Schizosaccharomyces pombe: one gene and its partner. Changing the gene in region 2 together with the main gene of any one other region gives a genetic interaction. Each region holds a gene or a part of one and is shown on either strand. Other genes may lie near its edges.

Evidence for each region. Genes that interact genetically often act in the same process or in processes that back each other up.
Region 1: of upf1 (region 2) and cip2, a mutation in one rescues a mutant of the other (synthetic rescue), as found in Schizosaccharomyces pombe (one study listed by BioGRID).

The regions. Positions count from the first base shown.
Region 1 is NC_003424.3:342,918-347,445, reverse strand, and holds the start of cip2 (RNA-binding protein Cip2), read left to right. Parts: upstream 1-2,274; 5' UTR 2,275-2,316; coding exon 2,317-4,047; 3' UTR 4,048-4,528. Other genes in the region: GATOR2-SEACAT complex ubiquitin-protein ligase E3 subunit Sea4, read right to left, coding at 1-251; efg1 (rRNA-processing protein), read left to right, coding at 828-902, 1,007-1,139, 1,202-1,332, 1,395-1,607. UniProt on the Schizosaccharomyces pombe protein: Regulates global gene expression after oxidative stress. Interacts and stabilizes mRNAs and may regulate their transition between different cytoplasmic components after oxidative stress.
Region 2 is NC_003424.3:801,606-806,133, forward strand, and holds the start of upf1 (ATP-dependent RNA helicase Upf1), read right to left. Parts: upstream 2,529-4,528; 5' UTR 2,483-2,528; coding exon 1-2,482. Other genes in the region: DYRK family protein kinase Pom2, read left to right, coding at 3,391-4,528. UniProt on the Schizosaccharomyces pombe protein: RNA-dependent helicase required for nonsense-mediated decay (NMD) of aberrant mRNAs containing premature stop codons and modulates the expression level of normal mRNAs. Also capable of unwinding double-stranded DNA and translocating on single-stranded DNA.

The sequences.
Region 1 (4,528 bases), 460 kb from region 2:
GTTACTACTGCTTGAAATTCTGGATGCTTAACAGAAAGCAATGATATATTTCCGGTAGAAGAACCAGCACCCAATATTTCATTGTTTCCGTGAAAAGAGTCTATACATTTAACATTTTTCAATGATCTCCAAATAATGTGAGTTTTCCAATTTACTTTAGGGGAAGCTTTGACGGCGACATATCGAATCTCATCTGAGGAGCCGTTAACCCAAAAATAACAGCCATTCCTCTTTTTACTTCTATTTAACATTCTCTAAAGAGAAATTTGACAATTAGGCTTTACCAGAAACGCCCAAAATACTGCATAAACATTAAACAGAGCTTGATCGAAGCGTTCTTCAATCTCAACCACTCGTCAAACATAACGTTTAGCACTAATTTGCTTAACGATAGCTAACAGAAATGCCTTAACAACGGACTGAAAAGAGGCTGTCAAATTCAAAGGTTTTCTTTTTGCTATTGATGATTCTCTTAACAATAGTAGTATTAAAATACAGACCGGTTGCTAGATTAACTATCTTTTGCATACTTTTTAATCTCTAGGGTGACTTCGGTGTCGAACAAGCGATTCTTTGATGTACTGTTGAAAGTCTAAGCTTTTAAATCACTCCACAAGTACAACATATAAATCTACCTTGAATAAGTGTGAGTGAATCAAATATTTTAATCATAATTACCAGCTTAAACTTATATATAAAAGTAACGTGTCACTTGAGAACCTAGCAGCTGTAAAAATTGCAGTCCTTTAAGTTTACTACTGTTCTTCACCAGAACTAATTGTTTATGGTTTGAATTTCTATTTATCTATTTTATTGAGCGTTTTAGCATGCCAAAATTTAAGGGCCCTGGACTTTCTGTGCTGAAGAAAAAAATTCGCGACAATGAGAGATTATTGAAAAAGGTGTGTAATTTTTTTGCTGGTTTAAAAACATCTGCGGTTTCAGTGTGTAATAAATATTACCTTCCTTTTTATGTTAATGAATAAGAAAACTAACTTCCTTTAAGGAGAATTTGCCTGCAAACATTCGTGTTGAACATGAACGAGCTCTTTTGGGTCTACAAGAGCAGTTGTCTATGGCACAGTTAGAGCATAAAAAGCAAAAGATTTTTGAAAGATACAAAAAAGTTCGATTTTTTGGTATGAAACATATATAAAAACAGCATTTTTTGTTCAGTGAACTTGCTTACTGATTTTCTCAGAACGTAAAAAAGCAGAACGACGTATTAAACAATTGGAAAAATCTTTGAAGGATGAAACTATGGATGATGAGAAACGCAAGCAGTGTGAGAAATCGATGCGTAAATGTCAAATTGATCTTATGTATATTAAAGTATGTTTGTATTTTCGACTTCATTTCAACTATCAACTTGGCTAAGATACTAACCTATTTAGGAATACCCCCCTTTAACAAAGTATGTTTCACTCTACGCAGAAGGCACATCTGAACAGACCGAAGAAACTCGAAATCGCATTTGGGCCGAGATGGAAGAACGCTTTAATAGTGGCAGAAAACACAAAATACCATCTTCAGGTTCCAACAGGGTTCCTGTACAGGAAAAAAGTTCAACTGGTGGTGATTTGGAAGATGAATTTTTGCAAAGATAAATGAAAACTTGGATTGAGGTTTTGGAAATAAAGGGATTAAATAGACGAAACTGTAATAATATGATTCATTCTTTTTAATAAAGGTTGTGAAGTTTCCATATGAGTTATCGAGCAAGGTATTCTTTTTATGCAAGTTTATTTAAATTTTTTCTATGTCATATTGCAATGGGATTTGCTAGGGTACCAAAAATAGAACTTGTGGGAGAGAAGCTTTTGGATCCTAAGGTTCACTGAAGATATTTTTCACATATTTCATTCTATAATCTAATATGCTAAAATTCGAATGATATTTCATGGAATATCAAATTAATAAAAATATAAATTTACAAGAATTTAAGTAAAAACAAAAAATTAGGACTTTCATTTTGTTCTGTTTTAGGTGGTCGAATTATTAGACAGTTTAATAGTCTTTATCATTGCAGCAGTGTTTTTAAGAGCTCTTAGATGGACTTTCGGTTTTATCATCACAGTACCCTGTTATTTGCCTGGCAAAAAGTTACCTAGTGGGGGTTTAAAAATCAACACCAGTATGTAGTATATACATTTTATAATAATTATTTTTACATTTGCTTCTATAGATTGGTATATTTGAATTTATGGGTTTAAGACCTCAATAATATGGTGTAGTATATTGACTTTGCGCCCTTGGTGGTGTCCACGGATACCTAACCTCCGCACCACACGAAGTTACGACTTGTTTAGTGTCGATATGGCTGAGGGCACAAGCCAAAGGCCATTAACGCCTTTGTCGCAGGCATTTTTGTCAACTAATACTCTTTCTCCTGCTTCTTCCCCTTTAACTTTCCATTCTGAGGCTGCATCTCTGCGTAGAAAACGGTCCAACTTTTTCCCCAAATTAGATGAATTAAATGGAGCTCAAGATGAAGAAATGAGAGGTCTTAATATTCCTGGAGGATCAGGATATCTCGAGAACCGATATGGTCGTGATAAGTTTACGTTTTCTGATGCAGCCGTTAACAGTGCTGGAATGGGAGGGTCTGGCATATTTTCCCACAACAATGCAGATGATGGTTTGGGTGATGGTTCTTCTACGGTTTTACCAAGTTCCCTTAAACAAATGCTGGATCCTGAAATTTCAACTGCCAATAATCCATCTGCAAAGCCTCGTCGAACTCGTCTTCAAACTGCTTGGAAAGAAGCAACTAATTCAGCAGGCCTTTCTCTCCGGTCTGCAAGTGCTTTAGATGTACTCAAAAATTCTGGACCTGCTACTACCTCATTACTTTCCTCAACAACATACCCTTTTGATAGTTTAAATGCATTCAACGAACCATCCCATTCACATGTACCAAACTCAGCTTCTAGCACTGCTCTGTCTAGAGGTATGAGCAACTCTGTAACTTTGACGGCACCCCCTGAACCTGATGAAGAGACCATTCCTACCGCGATTGTTATTAAAAATATTCCATTCTCCTTGAAGAAAGAAGTGTTGTTTAAAGTGTTCACTGCATTAGACATCCCACGTCCATACGCTTTTAATTATCATTTTGATAACGGAGTTTTTAGGGGCCTTGCCTTTGCTAATTTCCATTCTCCAGAGGAAGCCAAAACGGTTGTGCAAGTTTTGAATGGCTATGAAATTACTGGTCGTCGTCTTCGTGTTGAATGGAAGCGTCAACTACCGCCTGCGGAGCGTGAACGTGTTGAGCGTGGTAAACAAGAGAAACGCGCTGTAGAAGAACGAAAAAATCAATTGAAATCTCCGTTTTCTGTTGCCAATATAGGTGCTGGCATTGATTTTGATTTGAATGATCCAGCTATACTCAATGTATATTCTCATATCTTGTTATTTTATTATCGCAGCGATAACACTAATGATCTTGTATTTGATTCTTCAACCACCCAGGAAGAACGTCGGGTTGCTGCCTTATTAGCTTCCCGTCTCAATCTCAATCATTCAGTTACTGGTGACGGTGAAGCTAAGCAAGTGGTTATTACCATGCCTAGTACTCATTTTACTCCCGCTAATAATTCGAGTGCTAACCACTCTCCTTTGATGGCCCCAAACGCCAGTACTTTAAATCCTTCTTCTTTAGGTGCTTCCAATTTGAGCCAACCAAGTCTTGCAAATCACTTGAGCTCCTCTGGTTTATTTGACAATGGTCTTTTCTCGTCCGGTGGTCTTTCTAGTAATTTTTCAAGTCTTAGACGACCCGCTCCCTCTATGCATCTTGCGGATAGCATACGTTCTCTCAGAGGACTAAATGATTCTAAAGCCTTTTCCGACATACGTAGTATGCCAGCTACTCCGTTAGAACTTGCTACTCCTTTTGCTAATTTAAATGTTTCCTCTCCACTGGATCGCAATGCGACTAATTCATCAAATACTTTAAACGGTAGTGCGATGAACGATTATTTTGCAAGCCTTACTCCATCAAACACCGGTGCTATTGGATCCAGAACTTTTACAAAGAATTAGTCTTGGATTTTTTGTTTTTCCCTGCTTTTGATTAATCTTGTTTTGGCTATGTCTCGGGTTTTATTAAGTTTCATTTACCTTACGATAATAAGCGCTTTCAAGCAAATTTATACTTTGTACATAAAAACGACGAGTGAAATTATCTCAATGAATTATCCATTTTTACGACCTAGTGTTCAATTGAGGACATGATTTTCATGCTTATATCGTTTACATACTCACTTCGGATGTGCATGTGATCGGGCTCATGCTTTTAAACTATAATGTGATTCTTGTAAAACGAAAAGGATTTAATTTAATAGATGATATTTTTCTCTCTTCAAAGTCACGTTTATGATTATTTTGAGAGGAATAAAATGGAATTTTCTTTTGTGAGATTTTTTTAAACTTTTGTATCGCAAATCCGGTTTGACGATTCGTATACTGGGATACGATGCTTGAGCTATACAGCAAAAGTCTCAAATAAAATTTACGATAACCG
Region 2 (4,528 bases):
CAACTAAATATCCTTTTTCCTTGCAATGGAGGACAAAATGATACCATAAAGCATGTTTAGCAAGGACTTTTGGATTACCGAGAACAATTACACCATACTTTGCTCGAGTCAATGCAACGTTCAACCTTCTTGGATCGTTAACAAAACCAATACCTTGGTGTTCACTAGAACGTACACACGACAAAATAATGAAGTCCTTTTCTCTTCCTTGGAACGCATCCACCGATGCTACTTCAACAGCTTTATAAAGATCCTTCTGCATTGATCCGTTATTTTGCATGTACTGAACAATATAGGAACGCTGACCATCATATGGAGTAACAATACCAATTTGCTCAGGAAGCACGTTGCTTCTTAAAAATGTGGTAACAATTTTTTCACACGTTGAGGCTTCCGTTCTGTTTAAAAATGATGTACCGCTAGCCGACAGCTCTTCCTGACCGAAATTTGCATAAAACATTAATGGCGAATCAGGTTGTATCCATGGAAAATCAACATGTCTAGCAATACGCTCAGAAGTAGTGACACCATTTTGAAGAGTACCTTCATAAAAAGTGTTCGATGGAAATTCTGAAAGACAGGGATGCATACGATATTGCACAACTAATCTGAAAGGAGAGTTTCCTAATATAATCAGTCGCTCAAAAAGTGATTGGGAAAGGCTAGCTAATGCAACCTTTTTATTCATAACAACCGGTCCCAGTTGTTGGTGATCACCAACAAGTACTACTTGTTTGGCGCCTAAAACTAAAGGAATCATGCATTCAGGTTCTGAAGCCTGTGTAGCTTCGTCAATAAGTACTGAACGAAATTTGTACTTGGAAATCCTTCTATCACCAGCACCAACACAAGTACAACAAATGACATGAGCCGCACGTAATAGTTCTTTTTCGGCAGCAGCAACCAAAATACGCAGTTTTTTTTCATCCTGAATAGATAATTCGTTATTTTCACTTCGTAGCTTCAATAAACGTTGTAACTCTGGATTAAACTTATAGTTTTTAATTTGCTCATGAAGAGATAAAAAGGAAACCGATGATTCTATGTCTTCTCTAGACTTTGCGGCAACTCGAACGACACGAAGTCCTGTACGATGTATTTTTTCAGCAAGTTGGTCAACAGCAACATTCGAAGGTGCACAAACTAATACGGGAGAATGGGATTTACGCTTGCGTGATTGCATCGTGGCCAGGTGATAGACTACAGATGCTGAGGTGACAGTTTTTCCAGTACCTGGCGGCCCTTGAATTAACGAGAGTGGCTTACTTAATACTGCACGAACAGCTTCGCTCTGACTAGCATTCAATTTTGGCAGATTAGGCACCGATAAATCAGACGGTAATTTTGGTTTCAGGAAGGAAGGAGGGATATCGTGTCCTAGCAATTTATGATACAAAAAGCTTGAAAGACGTGATCCGTCTGTAGCAAATAACCTCAAAGCAGTCTGCATTCGATCAAATGAAGTAGATTTCCAAACATAATCGACGGAAAAATTATGAGTACATTCGATAGGTACTTTATCTGAACGCTTCAGTTCTAAACCTACCTCATCTGAAACGTTGTTAGGAATTTTAATAACATATCCTGTGGAGCTCCAGGGTGCTCTTAGTTCTCCTTCATATGTAAGCTTCATTTCATCTCCTATGGCCAACCGAATTTCACCAGATTCAAGTTTGGGAAGGAGAAACCAAGCAGTATATCGTTTATTGATAGCTTGATCCCACCGAACCACAACATCTTTTTGAGTCTGCGATTCTTTGAGTCGTTTATCATAGTCAGCCTCCGCTTGAATGAGCGGAGAAAGAACTGCTTGATACGCGTGAGCATCTTTATATCGAAGTTCTACTGAAGGTAATGAATCATCCTCAATGGGCTTATCCAAGTCTTCGAGGTTAGCATTAGGGTCTTTACGCCAAAGTTCTTCAAGCCTAACCATTTGCTGTGAAGTGATTGGGATTGCAAGCTTTTGTTCCTCTTCGGATGGAGGAGTTATCAACCATGGAAGAAACTGACGATCTGAAATAATGGGTTGCCATTGAGTCAAGTCCCAGTTCATATCCTTAGCTATGCTAGCTCTAGCACAAGGTTGTCGGCATAATAAAACAACCACTGTCTTAGCTTTTGCTGGTATAAATCCTAATAGAAACACATTTCTCGTTCCACAATTATAACACTCAAGTACTGTGTCTGAAAGAGAAGAATGGCTATGTAAAGCAACCTGCTTATGTCGAGCACGAACTAGGTGACTAATGATATGCGAAGCTCCAGATTTCCCTCTTACATTACAAAACCATTTATTACAATGCAAACATTTCAATATAGAATTTGGATTCTTTATGTGGCAATAGGCACAGTGTTCTTCAGAATATTGTTTTTCGACTAATAATTCTTCAAATTGATGCTCTAGTCCATTTTCAGAAGTCATATTTTTTGAACTAACTAAAGATGAAATATCATTATTAGGTTGTAGCCCTAAAGACATGGAAAGACAACTTGATATGTTATTAAGCCGTCAATTTGCAAAGTGTAAATAATTGTAACACATTTTTAGAAAGAAAGGTTAGTCATTTAGTGAGGTTTAATGAGTTAAAATGTGCTGCTAGGAAGCTCCCTAAAACGTAAACAAAAAACGCCGTTAATGGGAAAAACTAACAATAGCAAGACTCATTTACTTGTAAGATATTATATCTATTCAGGGTAGATAAATTTTGTCAGTTTCGAGATGATCATTTACGTTCTTGAAACAGCTGGTCGTACTATAGATTACTAAATAAGGTAGAGCACTGTAGTATTGTGACACAAATCGGTGCTCACTATTGGAATTAAACAAAATTATATAAACGGTTGCTGAGACCATGTAAACAATCATATTGAAGACTATTAATTTTTTGACTAACAGTTGTCGAAAAGTAATAAACAGATATTTTTAACTTAATATCGGACTCTATACAAATTTATTAACATGAGAGTTGTATCTACTCGCTCTGGAAGTTAGCATACCAAGTGTACCGTTACCCATTTTGAACTTTTCAAGGAGTGTGTTACTTCCACCTATACAACAACTGCCCGTGTGAAACTATCCAAATTGAAATAATTTTAAGAATTTCAGGCCTCTTAATTGTCTGAACTTCTTGGAGTTTATGTGGTGCTTAGCGGCAAACTCTTCATGAACTGAAGAGGCTTCAAAGAGGGGACTTCGAATGCTGCGTTTAACAAGTTGATTTACTTGTAAGTATTTGTTCTCCAAATCCGGGTTTAATTCCTTCTTTTAAAATTATTTTTCGTTTCACAACATTTCATTTTTCCCCACCCTGGTTTAAGCAGCTAGTGCCTTTAATTATTTGATTTTTCTACTTTCTTTACGTTAATCAACTTCGACAACAATTATAAATGGTGGGGTTAATAAGTACAAGCGAAACGCTGCCTAAACAGGAGAGTAAAAGTTCCTCAGCCCCAGTGTCTAATTTCCTTTCTCCTAATAATCTGACTGAACAGACATGCAGTCCTCTAAGAGCTCATTCTACTTTTAAAGAGCCCGTATTTCTGTTATCGCAACGCCAATATTCACACAATAGCAAAATACTTACAGAATTAATAAATAGTGTGAAAAGGCCTAACAAGCCCGATCAAAATGAAGAAAAATCGGCTGTTGGAATAGAAGAGAAGTCCTTTAAAGATGAACACTTGGCACAGAAAAAAGGATTGCATCATTTTGCAGATCTAAAAGAAATCTTTCTGAATAAAAATTTGAGTACTTTGGATGGTTTACAAGATGCATCGCTTCATGACAACATACAGAGTGGAAAATTAGACAACCCAGTTATATCTCAAAACCGTCGCATTGTACTAGAAAAGCTTGCTAATCCCAATTCCAGCAAAGAATATGAAACCATCCCTACAGTCGAAAACCGACATCCACTCAACAAATTAAGCAAGACAAAAACTTTAGCTTACGAAGAAACTATTAATCAGCTAGATGAAACCCCAGGAGGAACGAATTATCCCATGAACAAAAAAAAAACATTATCTTCTGAAACTAACAAATATGAATATCCACAACAATCGAAATTCCATGAATGTTCTCAATTTGCTTCACCACGGTCTTCTATAGTAAATGGACCCAGAACCCTCGGAAAAAATTCTAAAAGAGCTGATGATACTGCAAGAATGGCTTCGCGAATGAAACCATCCAATTTTAATAATAATATTCAGAGCAGTTCATACGGACATGCATCACAATCTACGAAATTAACGTCCCAAAGAGACAATGATCATCAAAAAGATCTCAACTTTAGTCCATATAAAAGTATTCCTTTAAATAATAGGCCTTATTCTCCTATGTCAGAAATTGTTGGTTTTTCTGGTTCTACAACTCCTCTGGACACTTATGGTAACAGACCAAGTGGTAAGAAGTTTAACAAAAATTCGAAATTTCGCCCTCCAGGTTCAACAATTTCTAGTTATTCATCCGCTTCTACGTTACGTAGACTTCCGAGGGCTCCCGGTTCAAAAGTTCATGCAGAAAGAC